2 linked regions of the Arabidopsis thaliana genome follow. The protein of the gene in region 1 interacts with the protein of each later gene in a pairwise test. Each region holds a gene or a part of one and is shown in the gene's direction. Other genes may lie near its edges.

Region 1 (3,934 bases):
TTCTAGTAATGAAATTATAAAGGATGACTTTGTTATTCCTAAATTATGTGACTGCGCACGATTAAGAGTTGTTATTTTCGGACAGTGTTACTCGAGGAAAGACATAAAAAAGACAAAAGACATAAACAATGATAAAATTAAACTTTATGGGGAGAAAATCAAATGTAAAAAAATGAAGAAAAAGAAAATGGAAGGTCAAAAAGTTGAATGCTGAAATTGTTCTTCTGAAAGAACGCGGAATTGGGTTAAAGAGCTTTAAAGTGTTGGTGGGCCGACACGATTGGTCGGCATGAAATCTTAAGGTGTGAACCTTTCAAGTACACATTTCTGCTGCTTATGCAGTGTCCATACTCCAATTTCGGTTCGTACTGGAAAACATACTAAAGTGGATGTATATTTGATAACAGTTTTTGTTTTTGTTTTTGAATACTAGTATTATATAAAAGAGATTTTTCCTAGTCTACTAATGTTTCAATCCAATCCATTGTAGTTATCAAACTAGTTATTTATGGGTATTCAAAGCTGATAATATGGTACTGCGGGGTAGTAGTATAATACTAAATAATTACTTACGAAATTAATAATGAAATGAGTAATTATAGAATGAATGCATATAATTAAGTGTTTTTTTTTCACAAAAGAAAGACGCCTGAATTTAATAATAAAGTGTATTAAATATTAATTCACATTTGTCGTAAATACGTGGATTGTAAAAGTGTATCAATCGTATGTATGTACCACTGGTTAAACAAATGTATGATGCATCAATAGTCAAACTAAAAAACTCGCTGATCTTTGAACACGAAGTTGAAAAAAAAGTCGAAAAAATCTCACTGATGTATGTAAAAAGAAAATATGTTGGTAAATAAAAGAAAAAATGGGAGGATAAAAAGGCAGGGAATAATCACAAACTTTTAGGCCTAAAAATGATAAGTGTTGGACCAACCCATGGCTTGCACGTTTGGTCTCATCTCGTTACTTTTGTTTTCGATCTCATCGATGTCTGCGTCTGTGCGGACCATTTTACCCTTGCCTTTTATTACTTCACTAAAAGATGAACACACGAATTATTTAGACATGCGGCACACAATTTTATTACGGTTAAGTTTACAGTTTTAAGGCGAAAATATATCGTTATGCTTTATGCTACATTAATTATGTATAGTAGTACTCCCTACCCAAAACAAAGTTACGTATAGTACTTTGATTGGCCATCGAGGACTCAAGGTTTACTAAATAGAAAGTAAAACAAAGAGATGTTTATTGCATTCGTCGTCCACACATAGAATAATCAATCATCATCATGATTTGTTTTACATTCTTAAGTTCTCGTAATTATTCGTTTCGTACGTTTTTTTAATTTTATTCCAAAGAATTTAACATTAATATTTTGAAGAACCATGTGCTACTAGCCTACTATTATACTCAATTGACAACAACCCATTTTATTTTGCTTTTGCTCGTGTTTCATTCATTTCGAACGATTGGATTTACATAAAATAGTCTATACACAAAGACAAAACAAAATCGCTTTTTTTTTTTTTTTTTTTTTCATTTTGTATACTATTATTGTGGAAAACGCAACATTTATATATCATACTATTGATCTTGCATGGTTCCATGAATTTTCTAGGTAAAAAAAGTGTGTTAATAGAACAAACAAAACTGTTAAAACATGTTGAATTACTTAATGCAATTTGACTCTGGTAAAACATGGTCAGCCACGACATTTCAACTACTCTCATTAACTCCCAAATGTTTCATCATTTAATATATGAAAATCATTATATAATACTCGTATGATTCAATTACTCAGATAATAGTGATGTAATGCATGACACTTGTTTTTGGAATTTTATTTTATTTCCAGTTATATATTACAGTTGTTTACTCGTCAGACTAATATTGACTGTTATTAGAAATAAAGGTACTTAATTCTTATTCTTTACGCGCTACAAAATAAGCAACAATGGCAAAACCGTAAAAATGAGTAGTCAAAGGGGTATTTGGTTTTAGAAAGAGATGAGGATAAAAATGAGGTTAAGCGTTTTTATTATTCCCCTGGTGGAAAGTAGGCAAGCAAGTGGTATCATCAACAAACAAAGCACTTCTCTTTTGATTCGATTCTCTCTTTACCTTGAAGCTTCAATATCAACCAAATCTTTTTTCTCAAAATCTCAAAGAATCTCTCAAACTCAGTCTCCTATCTGTCTCTCTGCAAACTATTACCAACCAGGTTAGATTCTTGATCTCAAAGTTTCCATCTTTTTATTTTATGTCGGTTGCTTTCGCTGAGTTCTGGTTTCTTTGATTTTCTTAGTTACAGAACACAACTTACTTTGTTTTTTGGTTTGGGCTGTGTTGAAAATTGAGCTTAGGGTTTTATGTAACAGTTGTCTTAGCTCATAGTTACGGTTAAAAAGCTCTCAACTTTGTCTCCCTAATGATAATTGAATTCAATCTTGTTTATGATTTTTCTCTATTGGGTCGATCTTTAACTGAATCTATCTACATAAAGATCCAACCGTTTTAAGAATCTTAGGGTTCTTATCATCTTGTTCAAAACTAAGATTCTGTTTTTTGGTGTGGCAGATAATTTAGATATGGAAGCTACTCAGAAACATATGATTCAAGAAGGATCTTCAATGTTTTACCATCAACCATCTTCAGTCAAACAAATGGACCTTTCTGTTCAGACATTTGATTCTTACTGCACACTTGAATCCTCTTCAGGCACCAAGTCTCATCCTTGTCTTAACAACAAAAACAACTCTTCTTCAACCACAAGCTTTTCCTCTAATGAAAGTCCCATTTCTCAAGCCAACAACAACAACTTATCAAGGTTTAACAATCATTCCCCTGAAGAAAACAATAACTCTCCCTTGAGCGGTTCTTCAGCGACAAACACCAACGAGACAGAGCTTAGTCTCATGCTTAAAGATTTGGAGACTGCAATGATGGAGCCTGATGTAGACAACAGCTATAACAATCAAGGCGGGTTTGGACAGCAGCATGGAGTTGTTTCTTCAGCTATGTATAGATCTATGGAGATGATCTCTAGGGGAGATTTAAAAGGAGTGCTCTATGAATGCGCAAAAGCTGTTGAAAACTATGATTTGGAAATGACTGATTGGTTGATCTCTCAGTTACAGCAAATGGTTTCTGTTTCTGGTGAGCCTGTTCAGCGCTTAGGAGCTTATATGCTTGAAGGTCTCGTTGCTAGGTTAGCTTCTTCGGGTAGCTCCATCTATAAAGCATTGAGATGCAAAGACCCAACGGGTCCTGAGCTTCTTACTTATATGCATATCTTGTATGAAGCCTGCCCTTATTTCAAATTCGGTTATGAATCTGCTAATGGAGCTATAGCTGAAGCTGTGAAGAACGAAAGTTTTGTGCACATTATCGATTTCCAGATTTCTCAAGGTGGTCAATGGGTGAGTTTGATCCGTGCTCTTGGTGCTAGACCTGGTGGACCTCCGAACGTTAGGATAACGGGAATTGATGATCCGAGATCATCGTTTGCTCGTCAAGGAGGACTTGAGTTAGTTGGACAAAGACTTGGGAAGCTAGCTGAAATGTGCGGTGTTCCGTTTGAGTTCCATGGAGCTGCTTTATGCTGCACGGAAGTCGAAATCGAGAAGCTAGGAGTTAGAAATGGAGAAGCGCTCGCGGTTAACTTCCCGCTTGTTCTTCACCACATGCCTGATGAGAGTGTAACTGTGGAGAATCACAGAGATAGATTGTTGAGATTGGTCAAACACTTGTCACCAAACGTTGTGACTCTGGTTGAGCAAGAAGCGAATACAAACACTGCGCCGTTTCTTCCCCGGTTTGTCGAGACAATGAACCATTACTTGGCAGTTTTCGAATCAATAGATGTGAAACTCGCTAGAGATCACAAGGAAAGGATCAATGTTGAGCAGCATTGTTTGGC
Region 2 (3,934 bases), on another chromosome or scaffold:
GAGAATCCGTAATATGAAACCGATTCCTCCATGAATGATCTCGTCTCGTGTGTAAATGAAGTGTGTACATATTATACATTACATAAACCACTGCGGCGGTTAAAAATCGCTGTCGTTTTGCGCGATTACATAAGCTTTTTCCATTTTTATAATAAAAATGTCTGAATGTGGGATGTAAGTTTCGAATGAAGAGGCTGATGTACACATTTGTCTTGATTTCTTTTACATCAATACTTGGAATTTGAAGATATCTGTTTTGTGCAGCTTAATTTCTTCTATTGATAGAGAATAGTGAACGTCCAACAAAAAAAAAAACATTCAAGTTACAGATGAATATTGTTTTGCATTTTCAACTAATGATTTGACATATGGAGAAAGTGTCCAAAAAGTAAAAGGTAAAGACTGTTATATCAATTATGTAAGAGACTGATAATAACCATAGAATTCCCAAAAACAATTTTTTGTAGATTTTTTTTTTATAGTTGTTATTTTGTTAATTTAATATATTTTTAAACATGTGTATCATATATATCAGAATCATTTCTTAAAAACTAAAACAATGATTTTTTTTTCTTAATGAATATTGCATTATTTGCGGATAATTGAAAATAATAAAATTATGTTATCAAAATGTTGAAAACGTGAACAAATGGCTATTGATCACACTATAAATTTTCCGTCAAATAAATGAATAGTTAGGTATCACATGTGATCTAAGATTTAGATGAGGGTGTCCAAAGTGAAGACCAAATACATTTAACAGTAAAGCTACAGTTTAGAGAAATTTTGATCATAAACATAAATAAACAGCTGGTTAGGGAAGTGGTAGTTGAACCTAACACCAACGCAGTACACACATGATCGATCAAGTTAGTCAAACTGGCTGTGGATTACATTTACAAGTCTTACATTATTATATCCGTACTTGTCACACATTGTACATAATTTCTTTACCTGTCAACTTAGTTAGCTCTTGACTTTTTTGAGTGAATAATTTTTCAAATGTCAAATTTTTTACATACAAGCCTATAATATGTAGATAGGCAAGAGCTCCATTGAGTAAAAATTAAATACCTCCTTTCGGACGTAGAAACGTGTACACAACCCTAACACTTGCAATTTAAACAATTTCTACAAAATGTAACACTAACCATTTAATCAATTTCATCATACTACGACATAGAACAATAATCACTTTGTTTAACTCAATTCGAGTGTGTACACGATACTTGGATTTAGAGGTTTTTAAAACGTCTTTTGTGTTGCAAATTTTAGTCAACCAGTCTTTAAATAAATTAATAGGTTCACTTCTTACGTACGCAAACTCATATTTCCTTTTTAATTCACGTTTGGATCCACAACAAGGGTGTCGGTTTACATTATATTATAGATTTTCTTAATACCTTTTTCTTGAGAATGCAGGTCGATTTTTGACGAAAAAAACAATGTGTCGGTTTAAATTACATATACAACTAAGACCACGACAGTGCTTTTTATAGTTTAAATTATAATTTAGACAAAAAACACTATTAGTCTATATCTTTCCCTCAATTCCATGAATGTGTTAAACCCTTTTCACACAAAATAAATGATTAAACAAAACATGAACATGCATGCGCAATTTTCCTCTCTTCTTTATTTTATTCTTTTCACTTTTGCATGTTTAGTTTTCCCATCTCGTGTAGTATTTTATAGTAATCTTTATAAAATATCCTCTCTTTTGATATTTAAATACACATGCACTTTCCTCAATAAGAAAAGTTTAACAAACATTCTCATTATACATGCCTTCATTACAAAACATTGATCCGTACTGGTCGTACAAGCATATTTTTTAAATACGATAACAGAAACAAACACATATAAGAAATTATTAAATACGAAAGAATGTGAAAAAAAAAAAAAAAATCAAACTTAAAACATATTTGTTTTAGGTCATATGTTCACACGTAGAACGAATTCCTCTATAAAAGCCTCAGAAAATTGCTAAACCCCCCCAAAAAAATACTTTACTCTCTCTTTCTTCATTTACTTCAATCTAATTTCTTCTCCTTATCATCCTCTTGTTCTTGATGTTCAACGATGCCATAAAGAAAAACTGAACAACCCTAAAGTACTGTATAAATCCTATATCAAATTTTTTTTTTGGAAGAAAAGGCTATATTTAAAAGAAAATCAAGCAAAAGTAGATCCTCGGATGTATGGGAAGAGGCCTTTTGGAGGTGATGAATCTGAAGAAAGGGAAGAAGATGAGAACTTGTTCCCGGTCTTCTCGGCCCGATCTCAACACGACATGCGTGTTATGGTCTCGGCCTTGACTCAAGTAATCGGAAACCAACAAAGCAAATCTCATGATAACATCAGCTCTATTGATGATAACTATCCTTCTGTGTATAATCCACAAGACCCTAATCAACAAGTTGCGCCTACTCATCAAGACCAAGGTATATATATACATGCTCATATCGATCTTTGAATCTTTTTTGGTTGAAACAATGTTAGGATATATTGAAATTATGTGCAAATTTCATATCAGAAGTAAATCTCAAACTTAAAAGGTTATTATTATACTGTTTATTTCAATACTCATTTACCAAAAGAAAAAACGATTAGGCTATTACCAAAATGTAATTTTTAACATGGAGATTTTGTTGGTAGTATATGGTTTCAGCACCAATATTAGGTGACGATATATATTTATACACATAAACTATGAGCATATACAAAGTTTACATACTATGCACATGTATGAGTAGACCATACCAAAGATTTTCTGATTTCAACTTTTGTGATTTCAATAAAGGGGACTTGAGGAGGAGACATTATAGAGGTGTAAGGCAAAGGCCATGGGGAAAGTGGGCAGCTGAAATCCGAGACCCAAAAAAGGCGGCACGTGTGTGGCTCGGGACATTTGAAACCGCTGAATCTGCGGCCTTAGCTTATGATGAAGCAGCCCTAAAGTTCAAAGGAAGCAAAGCAAAACTCAATTTCCCGGAGAGGGTTCAGCTTGGAAGTAACTCTACATATTACTCCTCCAACCAAATTCCACAAATGGAACCACAAAGTATACCGAACTATAATCAATACTATCATGATGCGAGTAGTGGTGATATGCTAAGTTTTAATTTGGGCGGTGGGTATGGGAGTGGTACCGGATATTCAATGTCTCATGATAATAGTACTACGACTGCTGCTACAACTTCTTCGTCTTCTGGTGGCTCTTCTAGGCAACAAGAAGAGCAAGATTATGCCAGATTCTGGCGCTTTGGGGATTCTTCTTCCTCTCCTCATTCGGGATATTAATTAGGAGATTTGATCAGTTACTTGTGATGAAGTAATGATACATTTCCCGTCAAAATTGAGATGATCATATGCTTCCTGAATGTTTTTGAGTGTCATTTTTGTCTTCCGCGTTAAGATTTATTGAACGTGTTTTCTTGTTTTTTTGGTTAATATCTTGGAGGTTTTTGGCTCCTACATACATGACAACATAACATCACCGATTCGAACTTCAACGCACGATAAAATGCATTAGATAGTTGATATACATTATACAGATTGCAAATATAGAGTATCGATTATGGTGCAATTAAATACCATAAAGAAAACTACGTTCCGTTGATGTTTGACCAGTCTTTAACGCAATACTAATGTAGTCTACTTTCATACCATCGATAGTGTAATATTTAGTTGACTTTAAAAGTCTTTCTAAATCAGCATTAATTGTAGTGTGTGGATCACGAAATTCGGCGGTCGACAATTCGACATAAAATATATAAAAAGCTTCATTCTCGTTTGGATCGGCTTAGACGTGTAATAGACATCGATTCAACTTTGCTAAACGCTCTTAAACCCACTTGAAGTCTTGGACTTGGACTTCAAAGTCAGACACCACTTGGTTTAGTAGCTACTAGCTAGTGCAACTCTATCAATT

Evidence for each region.
Region 2: the proteins of SCL5 (region 1) and AT5G61890 interact in a two-hybrid assay, tested with the Arabidopsis thaliana proteins (one large-scale study listed by BioGRID).

The regions. Positions count from the first base shown.
Region 1 is NC_003070.9:18,737,648-18,741,581, reverse strand, and holds the start of SCL5 (scarecrow-like 5), read left to right. Parts: upstream 1-1,932; 5' UTR 1,933-2,022; coding exon 2,023-2,236; intron 2,237-2,246; exon of another isoform or gene 2,247-2,408; intron 2,409-2,592; coding exon 2,593-3,934. UniProt on the Arabidopsis thaliana protein: Probable transcription factor involved in plant development.
Region 2 is NC_003076.8:24,852,008-24,855,941, reverse strand, and holds AT5G61890 (Integrase-type DNA-binding superfamily protein), read left to right. Parts: upstream 1-2,000; 5' UTR 2,001-2,197; coding exon 2,198-2,444; intron 2,445-2,803; coding exon 2,804-3,303; 3' UTR 3,304-3,620; downstream 3,621-3,934. Other genes in the region: BON1 (Calcium-dependent phospholipid-binding Copine family protein), read left to right, coding at 1-34; AT5G61910 (DCD (Development and Cell Death) domain protein), read left to right, coding at 1-34. UniProt on the Arabidopsis thaliana protein: Transcriptional regulator of cell proliferation and axillary bud outgrowth. Involved in maintaining the structure of the shoot apical meristem as well as plastochron and phyllotaxy.